Linked DNA regions of Caenorhabditis elegans. The protein of the gene in region 3 interacts with the protein of the main gene of each other region in a pairwise test. Each region holds a gene or a part of one and is shown on either strand. Other genes may lie near its edges.

Region 1 (8,981 bases), on a different chromosome or scaffold from region 3:
TCCGCCTGCCTGCCTAGTCACCTACATCCTGCCTATATTTTCCTTTAGGTTTTTTCTCCCTTTTTATTAATTTTCCTATCTCGCTTCATTTTTTACAGATTGTTTTAATCCATAAAATTGTTATTTCTACTAATATTTATTAAGTTTAGTTTCAAAAAATCAAGTGGATGCATTAAATAGAGTGTCAGGCTGTCCCATAACTGTTTGATCTACAAAAAAATTTGTTTTTTGCGGGAATTTTTTGCCGTCAAAAAAATTCAAATTCCCGCGCGATTCTCGTAGATCTCTAGATAGATCAAACCAATATGGGACACTCTGACACCACGTGTCGAGCAATGAATCAAGAAATCAATAAATTATGCGGGAGAATACTCAAGTGAAATAGGCAATCTATGGTACATGGAAAATAAATAAAAAATTATGCAAATTCGACAAAAAACACTAAAATTAAAAATAATTATTGCTGCTGAACATAATTCGATGGGAAAAGTCCAGATTTCGAAGGATCTTGTTCTCGATGTCCACTCCACCATTCAGCTTCAGATTTATCAGTGACAATTATAACATCTCCAGTCTTGAATCCCAGCTCATCTGGCTGAGAAGCTTCATAATCGTATACTGCAGTGGCTCGAGTGGCAGGAGAAGCGGCTTCTTCCAAAACTTTTACATATTCTCCAGGAAACCATCCGGCGATTGGTTTTCCATTTCGAATCAGCTCGCCTTCCCACCAGCCGGCTGCTGATTTTTCACGAATTTTCACAATTTCGCCAACTTTGATTCCCAATTGATTTGGCGCCGATGCAACAAAATCCACGACAACTTTAGCTTCACAGAGGACGGTTGGTGGAGCCGCTGGAGTTGGAGCTTGAGTTGGTGGAGTCGGATCCCCTGCCTGCTGGACTGATATCTCGACATAGTTGGCTGGGAAGATACCCTCACGTCCGTTGCAACGCCCTTTCCACCATTCATCGTTTCTGAAATTATTTTTTGATTTAAATCACTGAAAATTGATATTTTTGTTTTGGTGTCAGTTTTTCAGTTTTTAAGTAATTTTTTTTTGGCTAAAAAACAAGTTTTTTGGGTTTTTGGGGTTTTTTTTAATATGAAGTTTTTTTGGAAAAAAAAGAGTATTTCGGTTTTTTTTTGCAAAAATTGGATTTTGTCGGGCTTTTTTTTAATTTTGTGGAGAAATTAATTTTTTTGAGAAAATATGCTTTTTTTGGTTTTTAAATTTAATTTTTTTTCGGTAAAAATTGTGTTTTTTGGAAATTGTTTTTTTTTCAGGGTTTTTTTTGACGAAAATGACACATTTTTGGCAAAAGTAAGAAAAATTGTGCCTTTTTTGAAAAAATAGCTTTTTAGGTTTTTTTAATGTTAAAAATGACACTTTTGGATTTTTTCTGAAAAAATCGGTTTAAAACAAAAAAAGTTTTATTGGTAAACATGACGCGTGTTTGGTTTTTTTTTTTGGCAAAACTGAGTTTTATGATTTTTTTTCTGGGGAAAAATGTATTTTTTAGCTGTTTTTGTTGCAAAAATGGAATTTTTTTGGTGTTTTTGGCAAAACGACACATTTTTGGATTTTTTTCTGACAAAAATTAGACTTTTTTGAAAAAAAAAAGGTTTTTTTGGACAAGAAATAGTTTTTTGAGGTTACTTTGCCAAAAATAGGGTTTTCCTTGCAAAATTGGAAACAATTATTTTAAAAATTTTGGGCTTATTTGGTTCAAAATGTAATAAATTGATACCCCGAAACCTTTCGTTTAAGCATAATAATAATAGCGCAAGAATACGAAAAGCTATCAAAAAAATGAAAAAATTCAATTCCAAATGAGCTCCTGTCAAGAGCAGCGAGAGCTCCTCTCTCCACTTACTTCTCGAGCACTAGAATTGTGTCACCGACATGCAGTGCCAAATCTGTTGTCTCGACAGCTTCAAAATCGTAGATCACAGTGTAAAGTTGTTGTTGGGGGGCTGTTTCGGAGGCTTGTAATGTCACATCGGAAGGTACCACGTCGTATTGAGCTCCTGCTGCTGCTCCTGGAGCTCCTGCAGAAGCCTTCGAAGGAGACACAATCGGAGTCGTGGTGCTGGTGGTTGCTCCGACTTCTTTCACATAACTTTTCGGGAACCATCCAATTTCGCCGGCAGGATTTCGACCTTTCCATTTCATTTCTTGCTTTTCTAGTACCTGAAATTAATGTTATTAGTTCGAGTTAAGGTGTACCTTCAAAAATCTAAAAAAAATAGTCTGAAATTCAAGAAAAATCGTGAAAAGAAGAAATGGGAATAAAATCCTAAATTTTTTTTCAAATTTTTGGAAAAATTCCCCAGAAACCACGCTCATTTTTTTGCTGAAAAATAGGTTTTTTTGGGGTAAAAAAGGTTTTTTTTGTTGAAAATTTGGGTTCCTTTGTTGATAAAAATGGGTTTTTTTTTGGTAGAAAACAGGTTTTTTTTTAGAAAAAAGAGTTATTATGGGGAAAATGGTTTTTTTTGGGAAAAAAGGTTATTTTATAAATCATACAATTTAGCTGAAAGATAGATTAAAAATCGATTTTTTCACCGAAAATCCAATTTTTTTTTCAAAAATTCGTCAAAATCACATTTTCAAGCTGTTTTTGCAGGAAAATAGGCTGAAAACTCCTAAGAATTGGCTTAAAACTTCAAATTTTTCAAATTTTCTGCCGGAAAACTTGTAAAATCTCATTTTTTTCAGGTTCAAGCTCAAGAATTTCAGACAATTTTTGGATTTTTCGCAGCAAAATGCTCTCCACCTCAATTGTATCTCCTTTTGCAAATGACAAATCCTCCTCATTACGTGCTCTCCATTGGAATTGTGCAATACATTGAGATATTACTGCTGCTGCTGCTGGAGCACTTGAAGCAGGTGGAGCACCACCTTCTGTCAATCCCATTGCCGCTGCGATTTCCGCTTTCCGCGCCGCTTTCACTCCAATTTGATCTACTGATGAGCTCGGCGTCATGTTTGGTGGCATATTCTGAATAGGTGGATCACCGCCTGGAGTAGGTACTGCTGCGATTGCTTCGACGAATGCTTCTGGGAACCATCCGACTTTCTCACGAAGTTGACCGGCACGCCATCCTGGTTCAGCTGCATGGGATTGGAAGACGATTATGACGTCTCCTAGAAGAAAAATAAATAAAAATTAACTTTTTCTCGAATTTTTGCCTTTTTTTTGTCAAAAATGACACTTTTTGTTAAGTTTTTTCTGACAAAAATTGGTATTTTTTGGGAAAAAAAGGGTTTTTTTTTCACAAAAACGGGGTTTTTAGGTAAACATTGATTAGTGATGGTTTTTTTTGTTGCCAAAAACGAAAAAATCCAAACTTTTTGAAAAATTTCAAAATTTTTTTGAAAAAACTGCGGAAAAATAGTTCTTTTTTCCAATAATTTTTCGTAAAAATTTAAAAATTCCTGAATTTTGGACGTTTTCTCCTACAAATTTCAAAATTTTTGGAATCATTTTCAGCTCAGTTTGAGAATTTTTGAGTAAAATTCCTTGATTTTAGTGGAATTTTGCAATTTTTCAGTTTTTTTTTTCGAAAAAATTCAAATTTTCTGAAATTTTTCACATCTTTTATGCATTTAATTTGTTTTCCATGCAACTATTTCAAAAATATTAAATAAGTCATTTTAAATGAGAGATAAGAATAAAAAAATTGAAATTTTCTTTTTTTTTGGCTTTTTTTCTGGAAAAACTCTTAAAAATTTTAGATAAATTCCTTGATTTTAGTGGAATTTTGCAATTTTTCAGATTTTTTTTTGGAAAAATTTAAAAATTCCTGAATTTTATGCCAAACTTTTTCTCCTACGAATTCCGAAATTTCGAGCTTTTTCCGGAGAAGCTCGTAAATCTACACAACAAAAGGCCATTTAAAGGGACATATTGCTGTTCGGACAGCACCTGGTTCAAAACTGAGCTCATCCTCGGATCTTGCTTCAAACGCAAAAAGAGCTCGACACTTATAAGTGTCATGAATATTGAACGCCGATTGATCAACAGCACCCTTCGAATGAGCTGGCGCCTGAGCAATCTGAGCAAATGGATCCGCTGTCGACGTGGCACCGAAATCCGCGTCGAAACGTTGACTTGCATCGGTTTTATCGAATTCTCCGAATGCATCGTTGAAGTTTGCAGGGAATCCGTTGGTGGTAGTAGGAGCTGGAGCAGGAGCAGGAGCTGGAGCAGCTGAAGCTGGAGCAGATTTCGCTTCAAATTCCCCAATTTTGCTCCTGGCATGTGTCTGAGCATGAACCAGAAGCTCAAACGAATTTCGATATTCTTCTCGTTTTGCGACAAGTTTCGAATAAACATCAGTCTTATACTTTTCCTTATTCGTCTTTAAAATCTCCGTCTGATTATACGATTTCTCTTTTTCTGTGGATAATTCCAGAGCGGCATCTTCTATAGCTTTTCGAATAGCATCTCGTTTCCTTCGCAGTGCTTCTAGTTCACTTTTTCTCTGCGTTGTCTCCTTGTGAGCCGACTGTTTTTGTAGAAGCTGATGGCCGAGTTCTTGAGATTCGATAGCTGTCTGGAACTTTTTTGGGTAATTTGCATATAGATTAAACGCGTATTACCTTCTGATTAGTCTCTTGTAATTCTTTAATTCTCGCGACTTTCTCGTCTCTCGTAGATCTCATTCTCTCAATAAATCCAGTCACTTCTGCTACTGCTTCTTTGGCTTTTCCAATGTCCACTTCAACATCGATAACCTTCTCATCAAGTGCTTGTAATTGAAATTGCAGCGTTTTTTCTCGTTGCTGACGTTGTGCAAGACGCTCGTTCTCTTGTTGCTTCTGGTTCTGAAATTAGGGATTTAAATTTGGTTTTTTTTTATCATGAGTAAATAAAATTTCTGTGTTCCAAAAGTTCAATTTTCAAAAGAAAAACTCAAAAAATCGCCTAGAATCCACATAAAAATTCCATTTTTTCTGTTCAGGCATCTGTACCTGCATCTGTTTAACTTTCGCCTTCTCCATTTGAACTTTTCTCATTTTCTCGTCCTCCTCTCTGCGTCTCTCCATCTCTAGCCTCCGCTTCTTCTCCTCTTCCTCCCGTTGAGCTTCAATTATTCTCTGTCTTTCTAGTTCAGCTTGCCGCTCAACTTCAGCCTGTCGTTCCTTTTCTTGTCTTTCTCTATTTTTCTTCGCTTCTTCTTCTCTCTCTTTCTTCTCTACTTCTGCTCGTCTTCGTTGCTCCTCTTCTTCAAGAACTCTACGTCGTCTCTCCAGTTCTGCCTGACCTTTAGATAGGTTATCCTGTCGCTTATCTTCAAAAGTTTTCGGAGCTGGTGACTTTTGTGGTGGCTCCGCTCCTGGTTCGAGTTCAGGGGTATTGTTGGCTGATCTTGATGAGATTCCGCACATCCGGACAAGTTCCAGCGGGGTTATTTTTGGAAGCGCGAATCCACTCTGAAAAAAAAATTTTTTTAAGTTTTTCAGCGGAAATTTTTATGGTGTTTCATGATTTTAGGGTATTTTCCGATTTTCGTACAGAAAAATTTGAAATTTTGAGATTTTTCAGCGTTTTAACATGAAATTTTGCTGAAAAAAACAAGCAAAACGTTGAAAAATCCTGTAAAATTCACTGAAAAACTATAATTCGTGAAGAAAATACAACCGTGCGGCAGTGTTGCGAAAACTCGCGCCGCATGTTGCAAAGTGGGAGGAGCGTCCACGTGGCTTGACTTTTTATTTTGAAATTCCAAGTTTTTGACAAATAAAATTGAAAATATTCCTTATTTTTGTTGAAAAAACATGAAAAATACAATATTTTCAGATGGAAAGAACCTTTTTCTACATTTTTATATCAATTTTAGATCAGAAAAGTTGGATTTTCATGGAAAAAGTGCAATTTTTGAATAAAGAGCTTCTGGCCGGTAACAAAACACATACTTTGAACATTTCAATCATATACTGAGAAATCGCATACTCATCCACTGATAGCTTTCCATCCTTATTCACATCTGACAAAAACCAGATATGCGCGAGAACATTGGTAGGAAGGCCTGAAAGCCCGAGAGCACTCCGTCCGACTTGTGAGCTCAGGGAGCCCAGACGTTCCTTGTCGAGAGCATTAAACAATTGAGAATATTTTAATTTATTGTGGTGAGGAATCGCCCAGTTTTCCAGCTGCCGGCCTTCGAAGACATTGCGATCATTATTCAAAGGGCTTCCAGCTGAAATCGAGTTGTGTCTGCTAGATGGAGTTCCGGCAATCGAAACCGGTGCAGATGGGATGTATGACTGCGACATTCGACGATCAATGGCCGGTGGAAGAGTTTGTGAGTAGTCTACACTGCCATGCCGGCTTCCAGGCCAGGTTGGTGGAGCATTTCTGGCGGGAACTACCAGCAGGGAAGGCGGAAGTTGCGGAGGAATCGGAATTCCGGCAAGACAATTCAGAGCAAGTCGCATCGCGATAGAGTATTCACGAATATCGAGCCGGCCGTCTTTATCCAAGTCTGACAGCGCCCAGATCTGGAAATTGTTTGAATAAAAACATTTTTTTTTTTAAAGTTTAATATCAACCTGAGAAAGCACTTGCGTTGGCAGATTGCTGCGCATTAGTGCATTTCGTGCAGTGACCGCATCCATAAACGGTTGTCCTCCGGTTAATTGGCCGAACATTGCGAAATTCTTCTGATATTCGGCATCGGAAACTTCCCAAGGATTTGTCATCTGGAGAACAGGGGATTTTTCGACAAAAAATGGGAATTTCGCAACAAAAAAGGGAAAAAACGAGCCATATTTTTCTAATTTAACTGGAAATTTATGCGAAGAATCAGCGAAAATGATGAAAAAACACATGTTTTTGGGCAAACAATAGATTTTTTTGAGCCGCTCCGCTCGCCAGCTGCGTCGCGGTCGTGGCCGTGGCCTAGGTTCCCTCTCGGCCATTTCTGTAAAAATTGGCCGCGGCGCGGCGCGGCCGGCGAGCGAGGCGGCTCAATAAAATGTAATTTTTTGGCTAAAATTCGTGATTTTTCCCTAATTTAGCTGGAAATTTCTATGTAAACTTCCCACGGATTTGTCAATTGGGGGTTTTTCGATTAAAAACGCTAAAAATGCGAATTTCGCAACAAAAAGAGAAAATGCGCCGAAATTTCTGTAAATTTGGATTCAGGAACTGAGAAATAAGAAGAAATAAGAAAGAGGCCAAGCGCCGCCGAAAGCTTATCGATTTTTGCGTGCCCCAAAAGAGGAGTGGTCCCCGAGAGCGCGCGGCGAGAGATGCAAGAGACGCAGAGAATTTTAAAGGAATCAAAAACCCCTTTTTTATATATTTAAAAAAATCAATGTTTTTTTTTTCATTTAAAACTTTGCATTTTAAGAACAAATTTTAGTTTTAGAGTGAAAAATCTCGTATTCTTGAGTTTTCTCCAAATAATTTTGAGCTCCAATTGATTTTTAAATGTTCTTTCAGCCTTGGTGCATGAATTAATCGGTATAATCGCGGAAAATTGAAGAGAAATTCACTTAAATTTCAACTTATTTATTAATCTCTGGTCATGGGAGAAAAAAAGAAAAATAGAGAAAACGCTAGAAAAACGCGCGCGCTCACCTTGCCGACGCTCGCCCCGCCCACAAAAGCGTGCCTCGTTGCGTTTTCGAATTTAGCAGGGCAGTTGGTTATTATTTCCATTTTCTATCTGTTTCAGGTTCGCAGTTTGTTTTTTGCATTGAATTCTTGATATTTTGAGTTTTACGTTGTATTCTGAAGTATTTCCGTCAGAATTTGTGTTTAAAAATCGTAATTCTCAGGGTTTTCCCGCTGAAATTGAATTTTTCGTCAAAAATCATTTTTTTTAGTGAATCCCAATGTCGTATGGTGACGGGCTCTCCGGAGCCGAGTACCTGGCCTCAATCTATGGTACTGAGAAGGATAAAGTCAATTGCTCGTTTTTCTTCAAGGTTTGTTGTGGATTTCTGTGAAAAAATTCAATAATTAAATAATTTTTGCAGACAGGAGCCTGCCGCCACGGAGACAAATGCTCCAGAGCCCATCATACACCGACATTCTCGCCAACAGTTGTGCTCAAAAACTTCTACCACAATCCGGTAGTGGATGTCCGTCAGGCGGATGCTTTCGATAAAGTCGGCAAGCGGAATGATCAGGAACAGCGCTATTTTGACGATTTCTACGAGGAGGTTTTTGTGGAGATGGAGCGAAAATATGGAGAAGTGGAGGAGATCAACGTTTGTGAGAATATCGGAGAACACATGGTCGGAAACGTATACGTCAAATTTATGAAGGAAGAGGACGCCGAGAAAGCAAAGAATGATTTGAATAATCGATGGTGCGTAAGCTGAAGCTGCTGTGTTGATAGGGCTCAAGCTGAGCTCAAGTGCTGTGAAGAGAACGTGCCACTGTACTTTGCCCATCGGAAGGGCATTGAAATGGAGATATACCTGGCACAGGGGCCATCTGAGCACTTTGGCGAGCTAGCCCGTATCATTTTTGCTAATTTAGCTGGAAATTTGTGCAAGAAATCTGCGAAAATGATGAGAAATCACAAATTCTGAGCCGCTCCCGTCGGCCATTTCGTTAAAATGGACCGCGACGCAGCTGGCGAGCGGGGCGGCTCAAAACATTTAATTTTTTGACCAGAAATCGTGATTTTCCATCTTTTTTCATGTCAACTGCAAAAATGATGGAAAAATCACTAAATCTGGGGCAAAATATAAATTTTTTTGAGCCGCTCCGCATGCCAGTTGCGTCGCGGTCATGGCCGAGGTTCCCTCTCGGCCACCTCTGTAAAATGGACCGCGACGCAGATGGTGAGCGGAGCGGCTCAAAATTTTTATTTTTTGCCCAGAAATCTTGATTTTCCATGTTTTTTTGCTAAATTAGCTGGAAATTTGCACCAAGAATCAGCGAAAATGATGAAAAAACACAAATTCTGGGGCAAAAAAGTATATTTTTTGTCCAGAAATCGTGATTTTTCCGTCT
Region 2 (6,077 bases), on a different chromosome or scaffold from region 3:
CAGAAATATTTGGCATATATCCGTCAACCTGGAAAATGAATATTGTAAAGTTGGAATGTAGTTGCGAATGATTAAAAAATTGTGGATTTGTGAACCATAAATTAGACTATAATTTAGATATTGCTTTATAAAAGTATTTATAAAAGCTTGCTTTAATCAGAAACAGTTTTATAGCATATAAAAACCAACAGAAATTCTTGAACCATGTCATTTTTAAGCGCAATTATATAATAAGGACCCCCTACCTTTTTTTAAAAATTAATTACACACTTTTGAACCAGAAAATTTATGTGACTTATATTTTGCTGATACTCACAGAAATACCACGGGAGCAAAACCAGAAGGAATACGTTTTTCAAGTTTTATAGAATACTTATTCAGGATTCAGGTTTTCTAGGCCCATAAAAATGTTAATTGGTATGTAAAAAACTATGTTGTATCGATTTTTTTGCTTTTAACCGATTCTCTTGCGCAACCAGAAAAATTATTCGAAAAAACCTCACATCTACATCTGTTTGCATGATCCTTTCATAGATATCGGAAGTAGACCCGGAGAAAGGTAATCGTCCAGCTAGCAAGAGAAAAAGGACGACACCGGAAGACCAGATATCCGACGAGCATGACACTCGATCTTTTCGCACTATCTCTGGAGCCATGAATTGCGGTACACCTACTCGACCTTCAAATTCGAAATTATATGAATGCACATTTGAAAAACGAGTCATACCACAAGCCATTGAACCACCAATTTCAGACAAATCTTTTGCAACTCCAAATCCACACAGTTTCAGTGGAGCTGAAGTATCTTTTCTGAAAGTTCACATTGAACTGTTGTTTTTCTATATTAATTAACTTACGACGCTAATACTAAATTGTGAGGCCGTACATCTCTATGAACAATTTTCCTAGTGTGACAGTAATCTAGAGCATCTAGGAGCTGCCGTGTATAGTGACTGAAAAATTTATGCTAATTATTTTTACACACACACGGCGTGTAAATTGGTACCTCTGGCCTAGAAAAAAGCTTGAAAAACAAATGTACGCAATTATGAAAATGCGCGTGGTGTTTGCGGACTTGACTACCGTAGTCCACATAAATTTTAGCAATTAATACTTCCCGGTTTCGTTTTATATGAAAATATCCTTGAATTCAAGCAAAAAATGCATTATCTTTTTGGAAAAGAATAAAAGAAACACTAAAATTACATTAAATTCAAATACAAAAAAAAGTGAACTACGCAGAAAACGAAACAAGGCAGTTTGAAGAACTGCATTAATGAACAGCAATTTTAAGTGTAAACTTGTGATGGTGGGTATACATTTTATGTACTTAAATTGTTCAAAAACCTTCATTTAGTCAATTGGTGAAGTTTCAAAACCTTTGTGAATCTAGTTTTTGAAAAAATTTCAAATTGGTGCCAATTTCACTGATTTTTTGTGAATTTCCGAGCTAAAATTGAAAAATTCAATGTGAACTTGTGACGGTGGGTATGGTTTTTATGCACATAATTTGTTTGAAATGCTCTACCGAGTAAACTGGTGAAGTTTCAAAAACTTTGTGGGCATAGTTTTTGAAAAAAGTTCAAAAATGTGCCATTTTTGTCGAATTTTAGTGGTTTTCGGAGCTAAAATAGAAAAATTCAATAGGAACTTGTGACGGTGGGTATGAATTTTTTGCACACAATTTGATTAAAGTAGTCTACTGAGTAATCTGGTGAAATTTCAGAAAATTTGTGGATCTAGTTTTTGAAAAAAGTTCAAAAATGTGCCATTTTTGTCGAATTTTAGTGGTTTTCGGAGCTAAAATAGAAAAATTCAATAGGAACTTGTGACGGTGGGTATGAATTTTTTGCACACAATTTGATTAAAGTAGTCTACTGAGTAATCTGGTGAAATTTCAGAAAATTTGTGGATCTAGTTTTTGAAAAAAGTTCAAAAATGTGCCATTTTTGTCGAATTTTCCTAATAATTGCCTAATAAATCGAATTTCCACTTTTATTTAGGAAAATAATCGTTGTTATATGTGATTTATCCATTTTAAAAACAATTTTGTATATATTTTTGCAGTTTTATCCATTATAATGTCTCATTCATCGAATTTCAATGATATTAAAAATTTAAATTCAAATTTCGCGCGCTTTGCAGCGGCCATGGCCTAGGATTCTCACTTTTCACTTTTCGCTAGGCCAGATGTCCCAATTTACACGCCGTGACACACAGTCTATATTGTAAAAATACAAACCTTACTACATATTCAGAAAATACGAATCCATTACTTGCTCTTTGAACTATTTCAAAACAAATATCATTTCCCTCCATGTTCTCAAAAATGATATGTCGATAATGAACGCTGTTGATAGTTTTTTCCAGTCGGCATATGTAAGGGTGCTGTAGATTTTGGCATATTCTAATTTCCTCGTCGATTTCTGAAAAAGAGATGGTTTGGAATGAAATAATTATATTTAGATCGGATTCGGTAAAATGATCAAAGTTCGAAATGACACATGATGGCTGATAGATTGATTGATGAATTGGGATTGGAGCTGCTGAGCTCATGAGATGAGAACTTTGAGGACATTTTGTGCGCTTCTGATTGGAAAACTGGTGGCGAGAATAATAATATCCGCTGCGGGGACTTTTTTTTTCTCAATTTTTAAAAGTGCACTCAGGTTGTTTTTTGAGAAATTTTTTATTCTTCAAAATCCACAATAAAGGTCAAAACATAACTTTAAAAAAAAAGTGTATTAACCACCTGAATTTGTTCAATTCGAAAAAAAACATCAAAAACTAATAATTCAGTCTTTTGTGAGACAGTGTGTTGAAACGATGACTTCCTGTTTTTAAAATGTTGAAACTTTTCTTTAACGGTCTCAATGGTATTTGGATGAAAACCAATGAAATTGGATATTTTTATTCTAATTAACTTTTTTTTAACTGCATTTGAGCCTCCTTTCGAAAGATATTAGTTCATCACTAGATCGATTAACATTACAAAAACCTATCAATTTTTGTAAAGACAAAAAACCAAAATTAAAAAAAGACTTTATCAAAATGGGAGAAAACTATTTTTGATACTTGTATAGTAGAGCAACTACAGCTACTACAAAAGTACACTGCTTCAACTTTTGAATTGAACAAATCATTTTAGTAGGTGCGTAGAATTTTTTTGGAATACGACTACTACATGTAGTCGTACCCCATGTAACAACTGTATAACAATAATTGTACCTTCAAATCCTAACCCGGTGTGCTGTCTGAACAAATTCAAATTGATTGATCTCAGTAAAAATTTTCGATTTGATGGTCCATGAAGTATTCGGTATACATTTGAAAATGGACCTCTGGAAATTCTTAGTTATTTCAAGAATTAACTGAATTTTCAAAAATCTTACTGTTCTATCACATCCCGGATCGACAGTTGTTCATCGAGGAGAAGGTTCGACTCGTCCGGGTCAAGCTCCCTCATTCTGTTTTAGCTGAAAAATGCTGATAAACGTGAATAAACAAATGATAAAGTTGAAGAAAAAAAAGAGATAACCAGAAAAAAACTCATAGGGACAGTGAATGATTATTAAATTGAAAAAGCATATCAGGCTCGCATGAATATTGAAATAGAGAGACTGGAGAGAAAATGGCAGTTTTTTGGGTCGGCGGCGGGGGGGGGGGGGGGGGCTCTACGCGTTTTCTTTCGGCCAATTTGATTTGATCGTTAGGAGGAGATATAATGTCAATAAATGATTGCAAGAGAGATTCATGTTTTATCAACCCCGCAACATTCTTTCGAGAACTAAAAAATTGAGGATTTGAGGTGGTACTTGTCTGATGGAAAATCTCATGTTGCGGTCTTATAAAAAGAGGTAAGCATTACGTCATTAATTTTAATGAACTTGAGTGCGTGGGGGACGGAAATCGTTAAACTTAGGATTTTTTCTTGTTTATAACATAATATTTTCTGCAAAATGCAAAATCAAACCATCCAATCTTAAATTATTGAAGCAGAACAACTATGTGAAAGAAAGTTTGATTGCGGCATGGCAGAGGAAATCAAGACAAATATGGACACTTTTCATCTTTTCCACCTCTAGTTTCCTATTGAAACGCGGCTGTATTTGTCATTTAGCAAACATTCCTGAATTTGCCGGAATAGTATCGTGTTTATTCAAAGTTGGCGGGTTAGCCAGATGTATTTGTAACAAAAACAGTAAACAGATTTGAAATCTTTTCAAAACACTAAACTTTAAGTTTGAGAGATGCTGAAAAAAAATTATTTGATATGAAAATCGTAATGTAATGTAATAGAAGCAATTACGTGCATGGGTTTTACTACGATCAATTACATAGAGAAACCTACATTTTGATTTTCCTACGTTCTCAAATGACTTGGGATCTAATTCTAATGCTCAAAACAATAACTCCTTTAAGGCTAACAAAGCCATTTTTTAAAGTTTTTTTTTTCAAACAATTTCGGTTTGCATCTTTTTCTGCATACTCTTTTTATTTCCGTTTCATACGTCTACTTAAAACTTTTTGAAAAATTCATTTCCATTTGGTGCAATAACTTCAACCAAAAAGTGTAACTATTCAAAAAATAATCGAGATTTATTTCAAGGAAATAACATTGAGCACAATAATTTCATAAAACTACCATTTTGTGCAGAGCTATACCAAAAACATGCTGAAAATATGTTTACTGTTAAGGTTACTACTAGTCTCAAATTTTTGACATATATATATATACTTTTATAATTTTTTTTTAGTTTGTCAGTTTATTTTAATCTGTATACACTAAACTCTTACACAATTTAAGTATTTCGCATTTTGTCACTACATATATTCCAGTTCACATTGAAGTTATTTGGAAGTTATTGCTTCTGAAATGCCCAATATATGTATACTCTGATTATACCATGGTTATTTTTTGTTTTTAATGGAACTTTTAAATTACTTATAAACTTTTATGTAATGGTTTTTACGTTTTTGTTTCAAAAACAATTTTAAATTGAAAAAAAAACTGAGTAGACAAAATTGAAACACCAACTATACATCCCAGTCTTAAACAACTATCAAAAACCGCGAAATATTAGCTTTGTGAAAAATTGGGATGCAAAAATGTTCAATTATTAGTCTCTCCATCGAATATTCAACAAATAAGGTGTTAGCAAAATAATGGGAAATAAGAAGAAAAAACAAATTTAATTAAAGAAGAAGACATAAATAACTACATAAAAAGGAAGGGATGAAGGAAAGATATTACATTTTTCTTTTTTTTTTCTTGGATTTGTAAGATATGACAAAATCTCAAAGCAGAAAGAAAAAACGAATAAATATGAAAAAAAAGAAAATATGAAGTTTTTTTTGACACCGGAAAAAAACTGGATGAAAGAGGCTCGACAAAGAGTAGAAAGTGGATGTTATCTCTCCCAGTCTCCAGAGATACACAGTTTTATGAGTGTCGGTTGGGTGAGTTTGCAAGATAAACACGATGAACACCTGTTTCTATGATGCACGGACGATGCAAAACAATTCATTGGATGATACAGCTCCGTCTTGATGGAGTCGATGGAAAGTGAGAGGAAGAAGAAAGAATTGTGGAAGAGCACCAATTTTTTGGCTTCCGGTAAGTTGTTGGCATTTTTTGTTACAATTTTAGGGGCTGATTTTTTTTGAAAATGAACTTTTTTGTTTTCTAGGTGAAAAGAGGAAAGTGAAAGATTACTTTCTCAAATCCGGCTTCATTTCTAATTCCTGGGATCTTACTTAAATGAATAAAACTAAATGAAACTAGAGTATTTGGAAATAAAGCCTTGAGGTAAAAAAGAGTATGCTCAGTTGAACTTTTTAAACTTTCCTTGGTGATTATTTCTTAAATTTATTTTTCAAAATTATTTATAGCTGTTTGAAAATTCGAAAAATTGCCTAATGTCATCAAAAATCCTCAACTATGGTTTTTTTTTCGTGTCACAACGAATTATTATTATTTGCATATTTTAGTTGGTGATTTTACTTTATTTTGTTAGATAAAATACATACAGCTGAAAAGTGACTAACATTGCAAAAATTGAAAAAAAAAGTTACTA
Region 3 (9,134 bases):
CCGACTCATTCTCCAAGATATGATTAATGTGTCATTTGATGATTGCGACGTGTATTCACAACAAAAGAGCTCAGCGCTTTGCGAAGAGCAACAGTTGGCTACCACTACCACCATCATCTCAACACCTGAGGGAGAGCAGGAGATAAAGAGACATCACACCGCTTCTTCATATTTCGGTTACTAGCACTAATCACTCAGAGCGATGCGGCTGTCTCAATATTGAAGATTTGACACGCACATATATCGGTTTTGACATTGCCTCCACAAGGGATCATATGAACTTAGGAGTCTTACAGTAATTGAGAAAATGTCAAAATTGATTATATGAATTTTAGATTATTTTAGACTTCTTTTAATTTATAGCTTCTGGGGAATCTCCTAAAAAAGTATTGGGTTTCGTTTTTAAAACTTTAGTGGTCACATGAAAACTTTGAAAACTCAATTATTGTTGTGCTAGAGGCTCAATTCCAAATCCATCCATCTTTGTATTTGGAAGGCAATCATTCCAAAATCTATTCCCAAGAAACAAAAAATATGGTCTATAGGAGAGCGGAGCACTTGATTGAAATGATGCACATACATACCCACACAGACACAAATTAACATTTCCTCTGAGAATAGGCAATTTTGAAAACATGAGGGAAATGCACATAGCATGCGTAGAGCTGCTTCTTAATTGTTCATTACATATTACGAGTCAGTGCTACGATGTTTATCTTCTAAAAACGCATTTTGCTTGTCATGTTTCGAAACAAATGAGTGCGCGAACAACGAGTATCTGTGCATTTATATCTATGAGTGTGTTGTTCTCAATAATAACAGAGACAGGAAGAGGAGCAGTTGGACGAATCGACGCGTCATATGTGTTTTTGCATGGGACCCCTCTTGTTCTTCTTCCTATTGTGACCAGCACTACCGCATCTTTCCGTTCATTCGATTTATGCATTACACCATACTTTGACGAGTTCGACAACATGCATTAAGTGATACAACGTGTCCTCCACTCTCTACACATGTCCCTACAATTCCATCAACATACTAATTAATGAGAAGAAATGATTGGACTATGTTTCGGATTTAGCTATCGTAATTTTAAGGGAACTACTTTAAAGGAGAAACAATTTTAGATATTTGAATTTATTGTTTATCCTTAATGCAAAAATCAAGGTTTCAATATGATCTGAGCAAGAGAAGCGATGTTCTACTATAAAATAACTATATCACAGGTTTGATACAGGTGTTCGAAAGAACTGTTTCCCATGCAACCAGCCATCTGTCTATTGTAAGAACAAGAAAACCAATCGAATGCCTATTCAAAAGACACTAAGTGTTTTGCCACTGAACAGATCATCCCATCGTTTCGGACGTCGGCTCCTAATAGACTCCACTACTAATCACTTCGAATATCATTTGCATCGGCTCATCTTAACAAAAAAGGCGGGAAACGAGAAGACCGGAAGATGTTCGCCAGCTGCCTCTTTATGAAATGAAATACGTGTATGGCACGGCGCGTGTTCCACACAATCGCCGATTAGACAATTGTTGAATGAATAAAAGGGGAACGTCGCCGTCCTTTTTCCTATCTGCTCTCATCATGCGCACCAACCTCGCGCACTATTCCATTACACAATATTCCTGGAGACACATCGTTTACTATGATCTATGCAAATGTCGTCAAAACAATCATCTAATGAGACAAAAGCTGCAGCAGCAGTTATAACAAAAAGGGGGAGAACAAATGTTGTGGCCAATTGCTTGAAACATACGGGATAAATTTGATAGCAGCGTAACCGCTTACAAGATGAGATTATAGTGACATCCGATCCGTGGAATGTGTGTGTGTGTGTGTGTGCAAATACGTCGTCGCGCATCCTAAATATGCCACAAAACATGTGCTCCTAACAATTGCGGGAAGCAAAAAGAGCAACACTGATTTGCTTATTAAAGGGGCCGAAGAAAAAAGAAATATAGATCAGATATCGTAGTAAAACTTCTCGAAAAATCAAGTTTCCTAATTTGCAGTCGAAATTGGCAACTACCTAGATACCACCTATTTTAATTTTGGAATTCGACCGAAAATAGGCAATTATTCAAGTATTATAATTTAATTTTTTGTATTAAAACATTTTAGGGTGTCGAACATGGAATAATGCTCTAAACTTTACAAAAAGCTCAACTTTCCGAAAATTTGGCATTGTGCGTACAAATAACCCCTAATGTAGTGAAGATCACATCTACTAAAATTGAAGGTTCTGTGATAAGAAAGTTTCCTTTCAGCTTTTGTGTTGCCCTCTCATCCCAAAAAAGATCTGATTATTGAACATAGTTTTTTTTGCTGTGAAATGTGTAATATTTATGTGAAGAGACGAGCCTTTGTCGATCAACGTTTTTATGTGCGCCTACTAATATCATTTTATGTGGGCAATGCACATACATACACACACTCATCCACGTTTTGGTATTGAACAAAATTAATCGAAAATGTAAAATGACATATAACATGTATGTGCCAACAATGTGTTGTGTGATGCGAGAGCATTCGGTCCAGTAGTGCAACGTCGACGAAAATTAAAAAATCTGATCTATTCGTATGGATAAGATGCCCGCCTTTCACACTTCCTATGTCAAGTGATGAAAACGAAAAATGCAGAAATTATTGCTTTTGTTTCCAATTCAAATTGTTTCGTCTAACAATCATCAAAAATTAAAAGACAAGGAAATGAGGGGCCTTCCTCTTTCACTGGGGGAACTCATGATAAATCTCCCACACTTCTCTTTTCTAAGAGTATATTCTGTCTGTAGAAAGGGCCGAGACATCAGAATTTCGAAACAATTTTAGATACGCCACCGGGGTCTAAATGAAATTCGATATGATAATTGCATTTTCTGAGCAAACAGGAAAAGATTTTCGATCGTGCACGCTGTCATCAGTTTGCCATCGTCTTCGTCACTTTATACTCATTATCTAACATTTATCCATAGCATGTCAAACGAGCCGACTTTTGCTTCTGCTCAGCGACGACGGCACAGAAGAAGCAGAAGACGGAGCATCGTCTTGTTACATTATTCAGAACAGACACACGATGACTTCTTCTTTCTTGCTCGCGCACTTCCGTCGCTGTCACAGAGCAAACGGCGACTCGGCGCAACTCATCAGCTTCTAAATTTGAGCAAAAACTTTGATATATGAAATGAAGGGGGAACTTCATTTGATGTGAGGCTTCAACTAATCATCCAAATTTTCATTTCAATTTGGAAAATTCAAAAGACCACGGAATCGAGAGGGAAGTATAAAAAAAACTATACTATGGGAAATTATTGGATTCGGTGATATTATTCTAAATCGATCTGTCGATTGAATTAGAAAGGAAAGCTTAAAATAGTTCAATTAGCTGAAAAAGTTCTTTGAACCCATGATGTTTCAATAACTATCATACAGACAATAGAAAGTTTTGGCAATTGCCGATTAAAAAAATTTTACCACTTCGATAAATTCACAATCCAAAAATAGGCTATTGTCGAGTTTTCAAATTTTGCAATGAATAAAAAATAAGAAAAACTGATTTCTACAGTAGTAATGCTTTTTTTTTAGCTTTTTAAATAGAAATTTTCTCTTTTTCAGTTCATAAAATCTTATTATCTCGTTATTTCACTCTGAATATTTTTTTTTCTAGACAATTCGAGAAGGCCGAACTTGAAAATAATCACCTCTGCTCCCATAAGAAGTGACATAAGAAATCAAATATTCAATATACTCACTCTTCCTCCTCCCATATTCATTGAATTGAATAAATCGGCAAGTCCGTTTGCAGAGTTTGCTCTGAAATGAGAAAAAACTATCAGCTATAAAAACTATCAACGAACCCAGCAGAAGATGCATTGGCATCAGAACCGAATGCTCCACCTCCCATTGCTCCAGCTTGGAAAAGGCTAAAATAATTTTAAATAGTTTTTGACTAAATGGTATTTTCAAATACTTCAAAAGTTGAGGTGCTTCTCTGCGAAGAGTTGAAAATCCCTCTTGAATTTGACGGAATGCTTCACTGACCCGTGGGTTTCTCATTGCCTCCATCACAGATGGATCAGACATCTGAAATTTTGAAATATAAATTTTTGTAAAAATTTAGAAAATAAACCATGTTGAGCATTTGTGGAAAACTTCTACGAATTCCTTCGGAAATCTGTGGGTTATCACGAGCCGATGGAATTTGTCCAACAATCTGAACTTACATAATTATTTTAAATTTTTTAAAAATGAAACTAACGGAATCAATGAGTCCAGGATTGTTTGACATATTTTGACGAATTGAATTGATGACTTCTGGGCTGAACATACTGGCCTGCATACTTGGATTGGACATCATCTGCTCCATTAGGGAGCTGATGCCAGGTGAATCAAGCAATGCTGAATATGAATTAAAACATTATTAACGGATCACTAAACTATGAGGATATTCGTGACGTTTAAATATTTTGTTTAAAATTATAATAAATGGTGGGCGGCAGACGTAAAATTGGGCGAATTGGAAATTTGTCGTTTTGAAATTTTTGTTGGAAATTTTTTAAGGAAAATGTTCAAAAATACATTGCTGAAAATCTTTTTTCACATTTACAATTTTTTAATTTTTTCGGCAAATTGATATTTGGCATTTGCCACTCGTCATTGATTATTATATGATTTTAATGTAAGATTTTTTTTTACTTAGAGAAATTTGACTCAGAAAAACTTACAATTAAAGTCAGCAGAACGATTATTCGATTGATTATTGGTAGCTTGATTGGCGTTTGAAGCCCATGGATTTGGCAGAGCTTCATTATTTTCTTGTCCAGCACGATCGACACGTGGCTCACTGCTCTGATCACCTCTTAGAGAAGCAAATGGATTTCCACTGAGCGAATTTGTTGCACTATTGAGCAAGGGCTCCTGTACATCATTGTACAACCGTTCAAGAGCAGCTTCTCCTCCGGGAATTCCCTGAAAATTGAATGTTTCAACATAAAATAACAAATCCAACCGAAAAAAAGGAAAATCTGTTGAAATTGGAATTCAAGACAAAAACCCCTGTAGCGCGGCTGGGATGGAATATATAGTTTCCAGAAATGTACCCCTGATATTAAAAAAAAATTAGCAATTTTTTGCCATATCAATTAAAATAACAATTAATTACTTTTAATAGTCATATTTAGACATTTAGATCGGCATCCTTGATCGATTTTTTAAAACTAAAACTGAAAAATCAGAATTTTTCGTTTTTCGATTTTAGAGAGAAAAAACCGACTTTTTCAATTTTTAAAAAATGGTATTAAATTTTGGTAATTTTTCTTTTTTTTAGACAATTGTTAGATAACATTAAAATGTCTTCGTATGTTTTTTGTCACCAACATATATGACACAAGTTGTGTGTCACACAACTTGATAAAAATCAAATTTTATTGATAATTTTCTGGACTTTTTTTCTTCGATGTTTCGATTTTCGCTGAAAACATTGAAAAATTGAAAAATGGCATCCCTTGATCAGCATAGCTATATATAATGTACCTGAAGATTCCTAATAGCTTGATCATGATTCCGCATCATTTCTTGGAACATATTTGGATTACGAATCATCTCCATAGTTTGACGCATTACATTCGGATCGTTGAGAATGTGTCCAACTTCTGGATTTCTCTGAAAATATTTATTGTCGATATACGAGAGAAATGTGGAAGATTAAAAAATTAAATAATTTTTCGAATCCGAAAATTTACAAAACAAATATCCAGGAAAAACTCGAACCTCAATCAATGCTTGGAATTGTGGGTTGGATTGAATAATTGTTCTCATAAACTCTGGATTTCCTAGAAGTTGTTGTGTAATTGGATTATCCATAACTGAACGCATAGCATCTGGATTGTTTAAAATATCAGCAGGTGATCCCATTCCTCCCATTGCTGCAAATGGATTATTGGTAGGATTCGGTTGTGAAGAAGGTGTTGGATTGGAACTTGGTGCAGATGAAGCTGTTGGTGTTGCAGCAGCCGGCGCTGGTGTTGGACGGGCTTGATTTCTAATAACCAAGTGGACGGTGTGACCATCAGCGATTTCTAAATTTTTGTTTATTATTTTTTGGAACACATTTTTCAACTTACTGTGCTGTGTGAGAGTTTCTTCATCCTTCAGAATTTTTCCGGTGTAAATTATACAAACTTGTTCTTTGTTCGCAGTTGGAACGAACACAAGAACCTTGTCTTTTAGCTGTAAAATATTAATTAAACACTGTGATTTACACATTTAATTTATCAAAATGGAATAATCACTTGAATTTTTATCTAATTCTCAAGAGCAAAATTTTATTTTTTAAATAAAATATAACATACTTCTGAAACTGATGCATCCGCAGCAATCTCAACGTCATACTTGTTCGACGGTGATTTCACGTGAACTTTGATGAGTGCACTCTCTGTAGCCATCTTAAATTTGAGAAATATTAAAAAACCGACAAAATTAAATAAAGAAAAAGGATTGAGAGAATGAGAGGCGGAGACGGAAAAGAACACGTTGCATCGATAAATCGAGAATATTCTCGAAGCGCAAAAAGAAATTTCGCAACTATTTCAGACCGAATAATGTAATAATGTAATGGGTCTCTTCGATAGAAAATAAACGAAGATAAACGAAGACACAATTCTTCCTGACGCGCGAGCTTCAATATGCACGTGATGACTAATTTGGTTTCCATGGTGATCTTTTTGTTCCTTTTATCGATTCAAATTTACAATAAAAATAAGAAATTAAAGTTCTAAATGGCGCTCCAATCAATTTGCCTTCCAATTTAACGTCGATTCCTTCTATATCAGGTCATAAAATGAATAAAAAACAATGATCAATAAAATGATGCGGTAGTTGCGTAAATCGACACATGATGGTCGCCTCTTCCGTGCGAGACCCATTGGGCGGAGTTCTCACAAGAATGAGGCCAATCGGCACACAACACGCGTGCGACAGGCAGTGAACGACGTGTTTTTGGCTCAGTTCCTACCAATCCCTGGTGTACACACGAGCGCCACGTGGACCTTAACAATTCGGGTCTATTTTTATGCTTCTGCTCTGCATTTTCTGGATTATTAGTAATAATATCATTAAAAGTGATATAACGCTCCCCGAGTCTATATAAAATTTCTCCTCCATACAACACATGTTTTTTGGCTTTCTTCTTCTAAGCTTAAAATTTATAGTTATTTACTAACTGTATTTTCCACTTATTAAAGATAATTTTTGAAAAGTGTTTGTAAATACTTAAAATTGAACCCGAAACAATCTGTATTTGTCCATTCACATGTGATTCACAGAAAAGAATGAAAATAAATGCGAAAAAAAAATAAATAAAGTAAAGGCGCATTGATTTTACCGCTCGCGGTATCTCGCCACGAAAACACGTTTCGCGTCAAGCGGCTCACGTTTTCGATGCGATCGCGGTTTGTTAATTGCGAAAACACCTTCCCTTCTCTTCAATCGTTCGCTCAATTTCTAGAAAATATTTCTGAATAATCTGAAAACCTCTAATCTTGTTTCTTAGTTTTTAACTTTTTGTCGGTGTTCCCGATAATCTCTCGCCCTCTAAACTCACTCGATCGATTGTCGTTTATAGGTAAAGTTTTTAGGTAATGATTTGGGTCCAGGCAGCTTTGGTCGCCTCCTTCCTGGCGTTCGCCAGTGCTGGAGGAGCCGTTCTCGAGTATACCGACGGAAACTTCGATGATCTCATCCAAACCCACGACATTGCTCTTGTCAAGTTCTACGCTCCCTGGTGCGGACACTGCAAGAAAATTGCCCCAGAGTATGAGAGAGCTGCCCCAAAACTCGCATCTAACGATCCACCAGTCGCTCTCGTCAAGGTAAGATAACCATACTTATTTACACAGCCATCGCTCATATATCGATCGCAGTGACACTGACAAATACGCGAAAGCTGATAAAACAGCAACGAAAGCCACATTGAATAGAAATATATGAAATGCATACAAAGGATTCTTTGAATTTATTGTTCTAGTCCTTATGCATATAGAAACATTTGTCCGTCATATATATTATGTATGCTGGTCCAAAATGGTTATTGTGTATTCAAAAGGCCATTGACAATGAGATCGGCTCGACATTTACATTTTCCCACGCATCAAATCACTGTTTGTTGTCAGGTCTTTACTCTACAGAATACGGACATCAATTAACGATAAGAGCAAAAACACCAGTCGCGTAGCAAACAGTTTTATCTATACCACAAACGAGTGCGATATGGTAGTAAATGAAACAAAAGATTATGTTTTTGAAGTTGAAGATTGTAAAAAAAAAGAAACAAAGATTTGAACCACGGTTTAGTAATAGGAATCCAGCCCCCCTTTAAGAATTCTCAGTTTTGAAACAGTAAATTCAATATTATCTCGAAAACGATCTATCACATGTGCATTGCCATAGAGAATAGTATATGTTTGAAATTTTTGAAGCAGTAATTGACAGACTTTTTCAATTAAACATTTTACGGTGTTCCTTTTGGCAAACAATTCCTCTTCTTTTCACGTGTATCTTTGTAAAATTCTCGAAATCTCTTTCCCAGTGTTATCCGAAAAAAGGCGGAGCTTGCCGCAAAGACCCAGAAAAATGGGCGTCACGCTCAAGTTTTCGAGAAAATATAAGATCCACCTCCTTGCGTTGTACGGCTCTGACACATTTTCCGGAGTTTTTTCAATGAAAAGAGGCCATAAAACTTCATTTGACCGACTTCGTTGTAATTTCGTGATTCTAAAATTAGCAACGCATGTTATCGTTAGAAAACAAGTAGTTAGGGATGGTCACCAAGGGTGTCAGTGTCCCGTAAAAATTACAAAAACGGGACAGTGGGATGTCCCGTTCCCGCGAAAACACCCAAAAAACGGGACAACGGGACATCCCGTTCCCGTGAAAACGCTCAAAAACGGGACAGCGGGACGTCCCGTTCCCGTGATAATTTTAAAAACGGGACAACGGGACGTCCCGTTCCCGTGAAAACACCCAAAAAACGGGACAACGGGACACGGGACTTGACACCCTTGATGGTCACCAAATCATGTGCTACACAGCACCCTAGATTGCGGGAGCCGGCCCTGTTGTCGTGAAAATG

The links.
Region 1: the proteins of ubql-1 (region 3) and itsn-1 interact in a two-hybrid assay, tested with the Caenorhabditis elegans proteins (3 studies listed by BioGRID).
Region 2: the proteins of ubql-1 (region 3) and lin-2 interact in a two-hybrid assay, tested with the Caenorhabditis elegans proteins (2 studies listed by BioGRID).

Annotation. Positions count from the first base shown.
Region 1 is NC_003282.8:17,117,412-17,126,392, reverse strand, and holds itsn-1 (Intersectin-1), read right to left. Parts: upstream 6,712-8,981; 5' UTR 6,710-6,711; coding exon 6,560-6,709; intron 6,509-6,559; coding exon 5,924-6,508; intron 5,441-5,923; coding exon 4,979-5,440; intron 4,832-4,978; coding exon 4,607-4,831; intron 4,567-4,606; coding exon 3,930-4,566; intron 3,149-3,929; coding exon 2,778-3,148; intron 2,192-2,777; coding exon 1,875-2,191; intron 975-1,874; coding exon 458-974; 3' UTR 124-457; downstream 1-123. Other genes in the region: uaf-2 (Splicing factor U2AF 35 kDa subunit), read left to right, coding at 7,850-7,942, 7,994-8,328.
Region 2 is NC_003284.9:12,410,560-12,416,636, forward strand, and holds the start of lin-2 (Protein lin-2), read right to left. Parts: upstream 3,483-6,077; 5' UTR 3,467-3,482; coding exon 3,393-3,466; intron 3,342-3,392; coding exon 3,229-3,341; intron 2,427-3,228; coding exon 2,243-2,426; intron 954-2,242; coding exon 858-953; intron 811-857; coding exon 728-810; intron 680-727; coding exon 504-679; intron 29-503; coding exon 1-28. UniProt on the Caenorhabditis elegans protein: May play a structural role in the induction of the vulva. May be required for the localization of signal transduction molecules (such as let-23 receptor) to either the basal membrane domain or the cell junctions.
Region 3 is NC_003279.8:7,019,298-7,028,431, reverse strand, and holds the start of ubql-1 (Ubiquilin), read right to left. Parts: upstream 6,451-9,134; coding exon 6,358-6,450; intron 6,236-6,357; coding exon 6,130-6,235; intron 6,085-6,129; coding exon 5,777-6,084; intron 5,669-5,776; coding exon 5,540-5,668; intron 4,976-5,539; coding exon 4,732-4,975; intron 4,406-4,731; coding exon 4,266-4,405; intron 4,221-4,265; coding exon 4,137-4,220; intron 4,091-4,136; coding exon 3,978-4,090; intron 3,931-3,977; coding exon 3,865-3,930; intron 3,821-3,864; coding exon 3,760-3,820; coding exon of another isoform or gene 3,739-3,759; exon of another isoform or gene 3,709-3,738; intron 1-3,708. Other genes in the region: pdi-3 (Protein disulfide-isomerase), read left to right, coding at 7,645-7,875. UniProt on the Caenorhabditis elegans protein: May play a role in the ER-associated protein degradation pathway (ERAD) possibly via its interaction with ER-localized proteins ubxn-4 and cdc-48.1 and/or cdc48.2, providing a link between the polyubiquitinated ERAD substrates and the proteasome.